2 linked regions of the Sus scrofa genome follow. Each later gene encodes a partner of the first gene's protein in a complex. Links are inferred from orthologs where the notes say so. Each region holds a gene or a part of one and is shown in the gene's direction. Other genes may lie near its edges.

Region 1 (7,598 bases):
AACTGGTCTCCAAGGCACTGTTGGGGTGGGGGAATCAACCTTCTAGACTGTAAGTCTGATTAGGGTTTCGGTGGTGCCTGGCACGTCATGTCTCCACCTAACACAAGAAAGAGGAGGTCATGGGGAACTCGGATGTGCAGCCAAGTGGGGAGAAGTCTCGTGGGACCGAGCCCTTAATTGTGGGATCTGATACTATTTCTGGGTAGATCGTGTCAGAACTGACACCAACTGGCGTCACAGATTTATTGCCCTTGGTGTGGGGACTTCTCCTAACATTTGGTGTCAGAAGTATTGTGAGTGTGGTAGCAGTGTGAAGGTAAAGGAGAAACACAGACCAAGCTTTTTCTAAAACAGTTTTGTATATGTAACATAATACCTAGAGCAACCACTAAAAAAGCTACATAAGGAAGCATATATTCACACTGTATAGATAAGCCAAAATAGAATTTTAAACAAGGTGAAACTGTAAGCTGCTTTTTGCAAGAAAGAGCTCTCTGCAGGAGACCCCTTTTATCTTGCCACTTTAACAAAGCTATATTTTAACTAGCTTCCAGCCCAAGCACACCTTTCAAATCTATTGATCACACATATTTTGTTCCTTAGATCAAAGAAAAAGAAATGACCAATAAGTCATTAACAGTTGGTCAGAATTTTTTTTTCTTTTTTGGGCCATACCTGCGGCATATGGAAGTTTCCAGGCTAGGGGCTGAATCAGAGCTGCAGTTGCTGGCCACAGCCACAGCCACAGCCACACCAGATCCGAGCCACATCTGTGACCTACGCCAGAGCTTGCGGCAACGCTAGATACTTAACCCACTGAGCGAGGCCAGGGATTGAACCCACATCCCCATGGATACTAGTCGGATTTGTAACTCGCTAAGTCACAACGGGAATGCCACAGATGGCCAGATCTCTTCCCCAGTTTCCCTTCAGTAATCTCACAAGCAAACTGCGTAAACAAGATAGCCTCTAAAGAAAGGTCAGAAGAAGTAGATGAGCCTGCACACAGTGGGAGATGTCGACGAATCGGACCGCCTACCTCAGTAATTAACTGAGATTACTTCCCTTTCTCCCTTGAAAACCTTCATGGCCAAACAGAATCTTGGGAGCTGGTCTTGTTATAGGGGTCCACTTTCTCCCCAGATTGCCAGCTTTTGATTAAAGCAATCTGTTTCTACCAGCACTTGCCTCTTGAGTATTGACTTTTTAGCAGCAAGCAGCAAGACTGGAATTTGTCAACAAAATGTGTTATATTTGTCTTTTTAATGTAAAATTTCTTTTTCTTTTTTTTTTTTTTTTGTCTTTTTGCCATTTCTTGGGCTACTCCTGCGGCATATGGAGGTTCCCAGGCTAGGGGTCGAATCGGAGCTGTAGCCACCAGCCCGTGCCAGAGTCACAGCAACTCAGGATCCGAGCAGCATCTGTGACCTACACCATAGCTCACGGCCATGCCACATCTTTAACGCACTGAGCAAGGCCAGGGATCGAATCCGAAACCTCATGGTCCCTAGTTGGATTAGTTAACCACTGATCCACAACGGGAACTCCAAATGTAAATATTTCTTGATCAATTTCACAAAAAACTGCAATAAGATTTACGAGTTCTTTTTGTTGGTTTTTTATTTTTTAATTAAAAAAATTTTTAGGGCTGCATCTGCAGTATATGGAAATTTCCAGGCTAGGAGTAGAATCAGAGATACAGCTGCAGCAACTTGGGATCCAAACTGCATCTGCAACCTATACCACAGCTCCCCGCAATGCTGGATCCTTAACTGACTGAACACGGCCAGGGATCGAACCCAGGTGTTCATGGATACTAGTCGGGTTCTTAACCCACTGGCCACAAAGGGAACTCCTTTGATGGCAGAAGGAAGGGATAATAATTAGACTCATCATCTTCCGCTCTTGCTAACCTCCCAGCCAGGATTTGTCTGCCTACTCAATGCTCCAGGCAGTGGTTTGGGAGAGAGGACACCTAGCCAGTGAGATCTAAACTCCTTACCAAGCCCTATACAAAATCCTCCTGGTTCTGACCGCTACCTACCTCCCAACAGCCGACTGCATTCCTTATGCGTCAGCCTCTCTGACCTTTTGATTCCTTCAATAAGCCGATCTTGTTCCAGCCTCGGGGGCTTTCTTTTTCCTGGTCCTCCTTCCTGGCAAATTTCTTCTCCAGACCTGCCTCAGACCAGTCTGGCACCTTATACTTGTAGCTCCAGTGTCTCATCTCAGAGGATGTCGTCTGTCCTCTTCAAAGTCCTCGAGTAGCCCTGCAGGTCCTATTATTGCCAAGAGCACTCTGAGATTATTTCCATATTGTTTCTCTTAATAGGAAGGAAACTACTAGAAAGCAGGGATTTTGTCAATACTGTTTACCGCTGTACCCCTTCAGCACCTAAAACTACCTTGCACCGGGATGAATGAATGAATGAATGAACAAATACCTGCGGGCTGTCTCCTTGGGCGTACTCTGGCTTAGAAATAGAAATCAGTTTGTTGGGCGAAAGCACATTAACAGCTGTTTTAATCTGCCCGCTGAGGCCTTGGCCCCCTTTGAATCTCTGGGGTAGATAATCTTCAAATCCCTCTGGGCCAGGGCGTGGAAAAACCTAAACCCGAAGAGCGTCCCTCCTGTCGGCGGCGGAACTGCGGCTGCGCGCAGCCGGGGGAGGGGCGTGGCCAACCCCGCTCGGGAAGCTCGCCCAGAGCCGGCGAGAGGACGCTGGAGGGCGCGCCAGACGCCGCGGCGTGGCCTGGTGGAGGCGAGCCGGCCATGGAGGACGAGCAGAGCTTCTCAGACATCTGCGGGGGCCGCCTGGCCCTGCAGCGGCGCTACTACTCCCCGTCCTGCCGGGAGTTCTGTCTCAGCTGCCCTCGGATCTCGTTCCGCTCGCTCACCGCAGTCACCTGCACCGTGTGGCTGGCGGCCTACGGACTCTTCACGCTTTGCGAGGTAAGGCCGGCCGGCCCCTTCCCGCGGGCCGGAGTCGGAGGCTCGGCTTTAGAAGGGTCTTGGGTTGAGCCCAGACCTCTCGCCGGACCCTCCTCCAGTCGCAGGGCTGGAGGGAGGGAACGGGAGGGTTCTGGGGACGCCATTCCGCTGCTGGACAGCTCTCCTCCTTAGGTTTAGTGACGTTTGTGCTCCTGTACTTTATCCCGCTCACGGGCCGCTGCTCTGCTCCCTGGTTCCACCCAGCATACAGATGGAGCTCGTCCTTGCACGACAGTCCAAAACATTAACTTCCCCGTGCTCTCTGTAGTCCACGCGCATGGTCATTCAGGTCCAAGAGTTCAAGAGAACTAAATGGATCGTCATCATCCATCACTTCCACTCCTCAGAGGAATCACTGCTAACAGTACCTTAAAGTCTTCTAGAAACTGCCTGTGCCGCCACAGTAATGTCTTTGCCTCCGTGTGTCTTTGCCTCCGCAGTTCACACAAGCAAGTTAAGAGTTTGATATAGTTCTTCCTAATCTCCTTTTCAAGGCAGCCTAACTCCTCCTCCTCCCGATCCCTTCCCCAAACTTAAATTGTGAAATTTTGGACATGGGTGGTTTCTATGCTCAGTTCTAGACTCATTCCCTTTTTCTGGGCCTCAATGTTCACGTCTCCAAAATGCAATTAATATCTGCCACGCCACTTTCACAGCATTGTGAGGGTCACATGTAGTGGCTTTGTGACAGCCCTCAAATAAAAGGAATCATCCTTATTGTTTTCTTCAGTAATTTAGTTTCGTATGTAGTGCCCTAAATTGAATGTATTATCCCAGGAGTGACCTAACTAGAGCTAAGTACAGCAAGGCTATTTATTTCTATAGTTTGGGTATTGTTTCCCATACTGCATCCATTAATTTGTACCAAATTGCATTGAAAAGCTTGTTTGTAAGTCACTCGAATTGGTTAAGTTGCCAGGACCGTCCTTCCCCTTCCGTAAAAAGATTTAATATATAATATAGCTGAACTTCAATACGAGCTTGAGCTCTGACCATGTAGTCATGTGAGGAAGAGGGAACAGGTATTTTTATTAAATGCCCACCAAGTGCCTGCTGCTTTACTAAATGCCTTGTTTCAACCTTAGAAGAAAATCAAGACTCAGAGTAATAACTTATCCGAAGTGATAAAGCTAGTAAATGGCATACCTGGGTTTCAAACCCAGGGCTGACTCTGAAACCATTTCTTCTCACTACACTATGATGTCTCCTCCTTGGGGAGGGCTTACTTAGGCAAAATTTTTAAATAGGGGAAGTTTGTTATTGTGCCAGCTCCCTTTTGTATGCATTTCTCCCATCCTGGTATATCCCACTTACCCCATCAAATGTCCAGGCTCCGTAACTTCAGCTTCCTTTAAACTCCACTGCAACACTTCTTAAGGGCCCTGTGCACCAAAATTTCTTTTCTTTCCTCCTATTCAAAACTATTAGAGTAATGAATCTCAGCTAGAATGAGAAGTCTGATGAAGAAATTCCTTAAAACATGTGGCTTAACTTCAACCCAAACGAATACTGAATTGTTAGAATTTCAGAAAGAAAAATGAAGTATAAAAAATTGTAGGTAGTGGAGTTCCCATCGTGGCGCAGTGGAAACAGATCCAACTAGGAATCATGAGGTTGCAGGTTCAGTCCCTGGCTCACTCAGTGGGTTAAGGATCTGATGTTGCCGTGAGCTGTGGTGTAGGTCGCAGATGAAGCTCAGATCTGGTGTTGCTGTGGCTGTGGTGTAGGCTGGCAGCTGTAGCTCCGATTAGACCCCTGGCCTGGGAACCTCCATATGCCGCGGATGCAGCCCTAAAGTGCAAAAAAAAAAAAAATGTAGGTAGTAATGAAGTTTGGGGCAAGGATTACTTTCTAGAAATGCTAATATGGGTCAAATCCCCTAAGTATATCATGTTCTTCATCCCTTCTTTCCTCCCAGTTTTTGAACTCACAGTTCTGTTGGAATTCTAAGTCTTTATTTATTCCTAGAATATCGACCTCCTTCCTTTTCTCAGCTAAGTATATCTGTCAATAACCACTACCTCCTCTGTACCAGCTAAATCCTGCTTCCTTGGACGTCTTCATGGGATCTTCCTGTGTGCTTAAGTCTCTTTCTTGCTTTCGCTCTCTCTCTTTTAATCCAGTCTTAGGCACTTCTAAAAGTATCACTTCTAGTGAATAGTATCACAGTATCCTCCAAAAGTATTTTTTATATATTGATCTTGCCTCTAATAAATCTCTAAGGGCCAGAACCGAATTTTATCATTCTCCACTCTTCCTAATACTTAACTCAGTTCACACTGTGTACAAGACACTACTGTACTAGATGCTAGACTCAGTTAACTAAAAGTGTTTCTGGATCATCAGAGACCCAGCACAAAGATTTCTCCATCTTCCATTTGTTAATCCACAAATGATTATCTAGCACAGAGGTCAGCAAAGTTTTTCTTTAAAAGTCCAAATAGTAAATATTTTAGGCTTTACAGGTCTCTGTCTCATATTCTTCTGTTTCTTTTTCTCTTTTTCTTTCTTTTTATCAACCCCTTAAAAAATGTAAAAAACAGAGTTCCCTGCGTGACTCAGTGTTTAATGAATCCGACTAGGAACCATGAGGTTGCGGGTTCGATCCCTGGCCTCGCTCAGTGGGTTAAGGATCTGGCGTTGCCGTGAGCTGTGGTGTAGGTGGCAGATGTGGCTTGGATCCCGCGTTGCTATGGCTCTGGAGTAGACTGGCGGCTACAGCTCCAATTCAACCCCTAGCCTAGGAACTTCCATATGCCACGGGTGCAGCCCTGGAAAAAGACAAAAAATGTAAAAAACATTCTTAGCTGAAGGTGGACCAGACAAAAACAGATCACAGGTCCAAACAGTTTGCAGACCTCTGATCTGACACTTAACTATGTGTTAACGTAGAAAGAAGTAGAAAGTTACTTTCAAGGAAAACCAGAGCTGGTCAGTAGCTAAAGGGGTAAAAACAGATTTTATTCAGAAACAACTGTAATTGGAGAAAAGAGACCTCAGTATCAAATTGGGCTCCATCCTGAATATAGCAGGGGTCAGTGGGAATTTATAGTCAAGGAGCAGGGTTGGGGGTTCGTGGGTGGAAAATTACTCAAAGAAAACCTCAGGGGCAAAGGGGGCTTCTGGCTAAGCTGATTTGACAGCATTTTTGCTAAAGGCAGTCCAAGGTGATCAGATTCCAAGGTGATCAGATACCAGGGGTGAGAAATTCTCTAAACTCACTTGGCAAGATTCTTGCTACAGCTTGTTGGACCATGCAGGCCCAACAAGTATGGACACCAAGGTCCGATGCTTAGGAGAGCCCGACTAGAGGTAGGTCAGAGAGGGTGTCTTGTCAATAATAAAGTTTTTTTTTGTGTTTGTTTGTTTGTTTTGTCTTTTTGCCATTTCTTGGGCTGCTCCCACAGCATATGGAGGTTCCCAGGCTAGGGGTGGAATCGGAGCTGTAGCTGCTGGCCTACACCAGAGCCACAGCAACGCAGGATCCCAGCCATGTCTGTGACCTACACCACAGCTCATGGCAACGCTGGATCCTTAACCCTACTGAGCAAGGCCAGGGATCGAACCCGCAACTTCATGGTTCCTAGTCGGATTCGTTAACCACTGCTCCTCGCCACGACGGGAACTCTGTCAATAATAAAGTTTAATGAAACACTTCCTGCCCTCTCTTTTGATTCAAGGTCATCATTTCCCCCCGCCCCCCGTGCCATCCTTCTAAATAAGACATTTTTGGAAAAAAAAGAGAAAACAGTGCCACATGAAAGAAACATACCCCAATAGAAACTTTCTACTTAAGAAATGTTAAAAAAGTTTGTAAATGTGTCTTAGACTCAAAGAAAGAAATACCTTTTTGGGCGCCCTTAACACATCAGTTAGTCATTTCACCTGGTCAGTCAGCCACAACCCAAAACAACTAAACTAGCCCTAGATGGTAAGACCTGTATTATTTAACAAAACAAAAAGTCAGGGCTCTGAAGGCATGAGAGACTCAGATGATTTTGTGTTTTCATCGTACTGCTCTTTCACCCTTGATGTCCTCAGCCTAGCTTTCCACACGGTTTGGCAGAGGCCAGGTAGTTCCAGGCACCAAAACCTCAGGATGAAGGGGCCTTCTCTTCTTAGATGTCTTTTGGAGATGGCCTTGGAAGGAGGAGTAGCTGTTGAGCATTATCTGCTACACTGTGCTAAGCATTTTATTATTATTCAGTTGGTGATTTTGCTGTCTGTTTTACCGATGGAGCATGGGAAGCAAAGATCAGAGTCCTTAAGTTACAATTCTGGAAGGAAACTCTCTGGAGAGCGGTGTGATGGTGGGTATTTTGCTGACGGAGGTTCTTTTCCCTAGACCTCTCCATTTGTCAGCTGCGTGTATTTCATCACATGCTTTTATAGCACTACAGAGACCAAATAAAAGCCATTTCCTCTTCCTCCTTGCATGTTCCTCCTATCTGTTCAACTCAGGATAGGACGAAGGCTTTTTCCCACCGCCTAAAGTTGACTTATTAAACCGCAGAGATTTATGGGGAGGACCACTGGGTAATCTTACCGCCCGTGTCTGGCTCTCTCTTCAGAACAGCATGATCCTCTCTGCTGCCATCTTCATCAC
Region 2 (7,656 bases), on another chromosome or scaffold:
CCACTGCACCACAGCAGGAATGCCTATGGAACTCGCTTAAAATGTATATTCTAGCCTCTCCACTGCCTGGAGATTTCTAACTCACGTAATGGGTGTGATAACCTAAGAGTTATGTTTCAGTATTATCCACACTGGAAATTATCAAAATTCCACGTTCAGTTAAACTAAAGGTTCCCAGTGGTATACTGTGATTTCCTTTCTTATCAGAATTTTCTCCATCTTCAGCATAAGGAATTCCACCGATCTGCTGACATTCTTATAATGTGTACTCTGTACCAGCCCCCATGCTAGCTGCTTGACTTGTATGAATTGATTTAATCCCCTCAACGACCCTAATAAGGTAGGTAGTATGATGATACTATTTTACAGATGAGAAGATTGAGGCAAAGAGTTTTCAGAGGTCACACAGCTAATATGGTACCTAAGCCCAGAGCTCTGTGATGGGAAAGATCCGAGCCATGCCAATAGTAAAAAGGACCCATTTCACAATTTTATACAATTTATACAATTTTATACATTCAGCTCAGGATACTACCATGCAGAAATAAGTTGGATTCCTTAATTTCTGAGGGCTGTTGAGAAACATTTTTGCTTTGACATCTTGCAACTTCATATTTACATGGTTTCGGCTAATACTTCACACTCTCAGATGTTCCTTAAATACTGGATGTTGATTTGGGGTGTTATAAACTTGAGATATTGTCGATATTTTGCTAGTACTCTCCATTTCTCCCCAATACTAATATAAATTAAACTGATCTGCTTCCAACCTTCTTCGTGGATGCACACTGAAGCTATTTATAACTGGTTAGAAAACTCAGTTGATGAGGCTCTATCAGCCAGGTGAGGTGAGTTGAGACTAAAAAGCTTGTCTTAAGCATGGGTGCTTGCTCCTACCTTGGGGGCTGGGTTCCGGCCTGGCCCACCAGAGCTAGCCAAAGTCAAGCTCTGCATTGCAATACCTTGCTGAACCCTCTTTCCTATACCTCACTCCTTCCCTAGAGCCCAAGGTATCAACTAACTACACCTGAAAAATTAATTCCTACTATGGTCTAGTGGGAAATAACATAGGAACTTAACAACGGGACCTCTTGAGGCTACATCCCTGACAGCTGCCTCAGGCTGAAATCTTTTGCACATTAGTGAACAAAGAGCATCCAATGATGTAGTAGATTTTTTAAAGTAGAGTGAACAGACAACACAAATTGCCTCTGCTTTTGCACTGCTGAGTGGAAGAGAAATTTGGACATACAATCTTGTATGTGTATCTATATATCCCTCAACTCCTATCCCCACCTCCCAGGAGCTCAAAGTGTGAAGTGGTAAAGCCCCAACGATGCAAGAAAAGATTCAATATTTAGCGAGACAACGAGAAAATTTGGACGTTCCCCTCGTGGCTCAGCAGGTTACGAACTCAACTAGTATCTATAAGGATGCGGGTTTGATCCCTGACCTCGCTCAATGGGTTAAGATCTGGCTTTCCTGTGGCTCTGGTGTACGCTGGCAGCTGCAGCTCGTATTTGAGCTCTATCTAGCTTGGGAACTTTCATGTGCTGCAGGTGCGGCCCTAAAAGGACAAAAAAAGGGGGTGGATTTTGATGACTAACCAAGAATCTTCTAGTATACTGGGCTGCAAAGAATAGAGAAAATAAAAATGACAACATATGCCATTAACTGAGCATTCATTTGCCACAGGCATTTTTCTAAATACTCTTTGCATTCATTAGCACATTTTAAGCCCCAGGATGGAATTATATGAGGTAGGAACAATAATTAATCTAATTACACAGATAAGAAAGCTGGGGAGGGAGTTCCCGTCGTGGTGCAGTGGTTAACGAATCCGACTAGGAACCATGAGGTTGCGGGTTTGGTCCCTGCCCTTGCTCAGTGGGTCAAGGTTCCGGCGTTGCCGTGAGCTGTGGTGTAGGTTGCAGACGCGGCTCGGATCCCGCGTGGCTGTGGCTCTGGCGTAGGCCGGCGGCTACAGCTCCGATTCGACCTCTAGCCCGGGAACCTCCATATGCCGCGGGAGCGGCCCAAGAAATGGCAAAAAGACAAAAAAAAAAAAAAAAAAAAAAAAAAGAAAAAGAAAAGAAAGCTGGGGAGTTAGGAGATTTGCGGGAGCCCTACAACTAGTAAACGATGCACCTGGGACCAAGGTGTCAGGCCCGGACCCCCGGCACTTACCTCCTACACTATAAGAAAGAGATCAAATCCGCATCATTTTCTGGGAGAGTCAGAAGCAAATGCGGGGCGAGAAAAAAACCACTGTGTGGATCACCCACTTAATTAAAGGACACAGTTACTTAGACTCCTTGCGGTTTCCAAGCTCATTTACAGAAGCAAATGAGTGGTGCTATTATTATGCCATTGAGCCCAGGGTAAGAAACTGGGCATCTTAAGTTTAAGAGGACTAAGCCATTCTTTTCCCGTTCTTATATTTTTTTTAATGAAAGGAGAAAAAAAAAAAGCCAAACAAGGTTATAGGAAGTGTGGTACTGCAAAGACTGACAGATACACATAAAACAAGTAATGCTTTTTAACATACCCAGTGTGACAGTGTGTTGGAAACCTCCTTTTGGTGATAACCACGGAGGTCCAAGTCTATCACTGTGTGACTCTGAGGTCCGGCCACTGGCTTCCTGGAGGCCCTGCGACAGGCCCTGGTGAAAACTCAGGACGCCTCCACTTGAGCGTGGGTTTTGTCTGCAACCTGCAAACGGGCAGGAAGAGCCGCAGAAAGCCCAGGCTGCAGGCGGGGCTCTCCATACCGAGCGGTGCCGCGGGAAAAGCAGTCGGGTCCCGAGCGCCCTCGGAACCAAAGAGCGGGCCTCCAGCCGTCGGGGGCAGCGTTTCCCGAGCACCGGGGGGCGGGGCCTGGCCGCCTGGGCGGGACTCCCCGGGATCGGCTGGAGCGGCCGGAGCGGCCCAGGGGGTGCGGAGGTCCGCGCGCCGGCGGCCAGACCATGCTGAGCGGAGCGCGCGGTCGGCTCGCCTTAGCGCTGCGAGGGACACGCGCGCCGCCGTCCGCGGTCGCCAGGAGGTGCCTGCACGCTTCGGGCTCGCGGCCGTCCGCGGACGAGAACAAGAAGGAGGGGAAACCGCCACGCGCCTTCGACCCGGCGCTGCTGGAGTTCTTGGTGTGCCCGCTGTCCAAGAAGCCGCTCAGGTAAGATTCGTCCGCTGCGGCTTTTCCCTGGTGGCCCCCTGTCGCCGGGGAGACGTTCAGGTCACCCGGGTGTTCTTCGCTGCCATGTTTTGGACCCGGGCCCGCCAGCTTCCCGGGTACTCGCTCCGCCGCGGGAAGGGCGGGAGGAGGCCCCAGCCGAGCCCCAGGCCTCCCGGACCAAACCGGCCACTCGCAGGCCTGGATCCTGGCGGGCAGCTTCTCCGCCGGCAGCGTTTTAGAATCTCGGGGGAATCCTTCTTAAAACGCAGATCTCTAGGCAACGCCCCACCCGGGCTCAATCCGAAGGCCTTGGGGCCGAGCCAGAGCAACTGCGTATTTTCTTGAAAGGATCCCAAGTGATCTTCCTGTACAGCCAGGGTTATGAACTCGGGATTCGGAAGACTAATCCATGGCATTCAGATTTTTAAGGCAAGGCGATGAAAAATGTGATAGCTTCCAGATTGTTGCGAAAACGCCGGGTAGGATCTTAAGCGCATCAGCTACGTGTGCGGCCCTTTGGTTTTTAGTTCTCGACCAGCCGGTTCTGTAAAGGCCTTCTTAACCTTTCACCTAGACTCTTTAGGATAAACATCTCTGCAGTTGCAGGCTGCTAAACCTGAACGTGGACAATACTAGCAAACACCGCAGTGTCATCAGTGGCTGCCTTTGGGTGGTAGATTGCTGCTTCCGTGGTTTCCTTCTCATGGATCAGTGAGGCAGGTGTTCTGATAAGCGAAGAAGCTGAATTTTCCTCTCGTGTCTGTTCCAGTAGTAAATTAGCTGGGATCGTTTGAGGGTTTAAAAGAGTCATGAAGGAATATTTGGATGAAAAGGAGAGATCTTTTCTTTTTTTTTTTCCACTAAGGCATAGCTTAAGAATAACGTGAAAAAGAAAATGAGAGAAACAGACTAAAATGGGAACAATTAGAGATTCCTTTTCTAAGAGAAATGGTTGAATTGGCTACTGCTGCTTTTAGAATGAAAAACAGTCTAATTCTGCTTTTCTGGCTCTAACTGTGTGAAGAATTGGATAAATGTTACTGTTTATTGAACCTCAGACTCTTCCGGGATTCATTTTGGTTTTCTTCTGCCCCTCAGATATGAACCATCGACAAATGAATTGATTAATGAAGAGCTGGGAATAGCCTATCCGATTATTGACGGGATTCCTAATATGATACCACAGGCAGCTAGGATGACACATCAAAATAAGAAGCAAGAAGAAATGAAGCAGCACTAGGTCATACGTAAACACAACACAAGGAAATTTTCTAAACACCATCCACCTTCGAAGAAGCCAGCGTGGCGGGTGGTGGGTGGGAGAGAAGAATGTTTCTGTCTCTTCCCACGCTGACTGTCCTTGTCCCCCTGGTCTCTCTGGGAGGACTGCTGTACTCCGCCTCCGTGGAAGAGAGCTTCCCCCAGGGCTGCACCAGCACAGCCAGCCTGTGCTTCTACAGTCTGCTCCTGCCCATCACCATCCCCGTTTACGTGTTCTTCCACCTCTGGACTTGGATGGGTATTAAACTCTTCCGGCATAATTAACGCAGCCGGAGCCACGATGGTATTTAAACTCATGATATGCTTGAGTGAGTGTGTCCGAAAGCTCCGCCACATGGAAATACTGGAAACCCAGACTTTGCAGGAAAGAGGCTTTGCTTATTAGCCTTTGTCAGAGGTTTAGGACTATGTGACGTTTAAGCTGCAAGAGGCTTCTTTCTTGTATTTTGGTTCTTCCCCTGCTTTTTGAAGGTTCTGATTTATACCTGGTCTCTCGGAAGAAACATTTCAACAAAGTGGCTTGTTGGAAATTAGCACCCCCACAGCCATCATCTGATGGCTTGTTCTTATCCCATTCATAATTAAAAATTACTAATTCGAAATTGTAGGTTTGTTTTTAGGTTCAAAGCCTTTGGTAAAGCCACATGTGAAGGATGACTGAGATAATTCCAAGGAGCTATGGGGAGTAATTGTAGAGAAATGCATTTGGACTAGTGTGATATAAAACTATAATAAAATGTAAATTTCATGTACTTGCCAAAATTCTGAGTTGGTAAAATTGCCTTCATTTCTTTGGCATCAGATGGCTTACATTATTAATAAGATATTGACATTTTCCATAAAACAATTTGCAGTTTTGTGTTTGGTTTTTTTTTTTTTTTCCTTTTGGTCACAAGAATATAATTCAAAGACAAGGAAATTATATGTTTAGAGAGGCACCCAAAATAGAACAGAATTTCCCAGGAAAGTATGTGCTGTGAGGAGAGGTGGAATTGAAAGACTGGCAAATAGCTGATTGTGTCCTGTTGAGTTTAGTTAGGGCGATTATTGAGCCACATTTCAGTTTATTTTTCTGCCATAAGAGACCTATTTATTTAGCAATACTAAGGGCATGAGCATTTGACACATTAATAGTTATTGATTTTCCAGAATTTTCAATAAGACTGATTAGTACAATAACTGTTTCAGAAGTATAACAAATGTTTCAGTATTTACCCTCATGAAGCCTAAGAACTCAATGTAACCTTAACTGATTCTTAATAGAATTTTAAAGTAGTGTAAAAGAAGCTTTAGACAGTGATTCTTCCCCTTAAAAAGAAAATTTAAAACATGAGGTTAGGCATTCCCGTCGTCGTTGTTGTGGCTCAGTGGTTAATGAATCCAACTAGAAACTGGGGGGTTGTGGGTTTGATCTCTGGCCTCTCTCGGTGGGTTAAGGATCTGGTGTTGCGATGAGCTGTGGCGTAGGTCGCAGATGCAGAGCAGATCTGGCATTGCTCTGACTCTGGCTCTGGCTGGTGGCTACAGCTCCAATTAGACCCCTAGCCTGGGAAGTTACATAAGCCGCATGTGCGGCCCTAGAAAAAAATAAAGTATAAGGTTAGATGTGTTTTCTGTTGCATTAATTCAGTGTATACACTATAGTGCAAGTCACGTTTTAAAAATTACCCTGGGGGGTTCCCGTCGTGGTGCAGCGGAAACAAATCCAACTTGGAACCATGAGGTTGCAAGTTCGATCCCTGGCCTCGCTCAGTGGGTTAAGGATCAGGCGTTGGCGTGAGCTGTAGTGTAGGTCGCAGACAGGGCTCTGATCTGGCGCGGCTCTGGTGTAGGCTGGCAGCTGTAGCTCTGATTCAGCCCTTAGCCTGGGAACCTCCATGTGCCTTGGGTGCAGCCCTACAAAGAAAAAAAAAATTGCCCTGGGGAAAAATACAAATAATCAGGAGACAATAGAAGTACCTGTCATTTCCTGAAATGGTATTACTGTTCTTTTTAATTTGCCCTAAATATCTCTATAGTCAGTGTAAATGAAACCATTTTGCTGAAAGAACAAGCACCCTGTTCTGAAAAGTCAGTTTCAGCTTGCAAAAGTTAAGCATTTTAATCATTTTGGAGGAAACTGACTAGTGTCTCCCTGGGGGACCTCAGTGTTAACTCTATCCTTTCACTAGTAGAATTCCTCTAGCAATCACTCGTATAGTACAAGCTACATAAGGGATAGTTCTAATGAGCATATCACACACAAATATGAGGGGTTGGGTAGGAAGTATCGGCACCATTTTACAGGTAGGGAAACTAGAGCACAGAGATTAAGTGGTTTACCCAGAGTAACAATTAATACTTGAACTGAAGTTGAAACCACTTGGCGGTGTGACTTGCCTTCTCAGTCCCTGCAGAGCGAAGCTTTATTTTGAGCAAATTCATCTTTTCTATTTATGTGAAAAATGGAATGAGGAATCAAAATGCTTAGATTCAAATTCTGGCCCAAGCCTGACGCCCTTACTGTTTTCCTAAGTCCCGTATGTTTTTCGCTCTATTCTAGCACTTAACCTTGCACGTAAGTGCCTGTTTTTGATAGTAAATTGTTGGTTTTTAACCGAATGCTTAGCCCAGAGGCAGTAAGCACTTCCGAGAGGCAGAGGCAGTAAGCACTTCCGAGAGGCGTGAACGCATGGCTCCGACAAGCCTTCTAACTAGGCAAGTTCACATCTCGGCGCGTCATCCTCAGGCCCCCGAATCCTTCCCCGCTTCCTTTGTAAAACCGAGGAACAAGCTAACTCCGTGTGAAAGCACTCTGGCACCGACAGATGGCACGGCTGCATGGGGGGCTCTGGAGACCAGCTCCCCAGTCAACAACCCCAACTGGTGAAAACGGTAGGCAAGACCCTTTCAAGCCTGGAAACTGTCCTAAGGGCAAACAGCCCTGCGAGGAAACAGACAAACTCGTTAAGGACCCGTTTTGTAACATCTGCACCAGCAGGCAGGTCCCTCCTCTCATCTGGCTGATTTTTGAGGAGGTTGCAGCCAAGAGCACAGGGCCCCCACGTCCCCCACCTGAGGGGCAGGGTGTTTTCCCACGAGGTACAGGCTACCAGCCGAATGAAGAATAATTATAGAATTATAAAAGTGTACATGACAAAAGGCTTATTATTTATTTGCAGGACGATACGTATAAAAAATTGTCTTGGGATCTTTACCGCATCTTC

What was found.
Region 2: PIGH (region 1) and PIGY share a complex: the UniProt entries of both Homo sapiens proteins name them as parts of the glycosylphosphatidylinositol-N-acetylglucosaminyltransferase (GPI-GnT) complex. The link is inferred for Sus scrofa from reciprocal best matches to the Homo sapiens genes PIGH and PIGY.

Annotation. Positions count from the first base shown.
Region 1 is NC_010449.5:91,311,421-91,319,018, reverse strand, and holds the start of PIGH (phosphatidylinositol N-acetylglucosaminyltransferase subunit H), read left to right. Parts: upstream 1-2,670; 5' UTR 2,671-2,773; coding exon 2,774-2,953; intron 2,954-7,563; coding exon 7,564-7,598. UniProt on the Homo sapiens protein: Part of the glycosylphosphatidylinositol-N-acetylglucosaminyltransferase (GPI-GnT) complex that catalyzes the transfer of N-acetylglucosamine from UDP-N-acetylglucosamine to phosphatidylinositol and participates in the first step of GPI biosynthesis.
Region 2 is NC_010450.4:130,524,677-130,532,332, forward strand, and holds PIGY (phosphatidylinositol N-acetylglucosaminyltransferase subunit Y), read left to right. Parts: upstream 1-2,894; 5' UTR 2,895-2,966; coding exon of another isoform or gene 2,967-3,169; intron 3,170-4,267; coding exon of another isoform or gene 4,268-4,409; 5' UTR 4,410-4,498; coding exon 4,499-4,714; 3' UTR 4,715-5,307; downstream 5,308-7,656. UniProt on the Homo sapiens protein: Part of the glycosylphosphatidylinositol-N-acetylglucosaminyltransferase (GPI-GnT) complex that catalyzes the transfer of N-acetylglucosamine from UDP-N-acetylglucosamine to phosphatidylinositol and participates in the first step of GPI biosynthesis.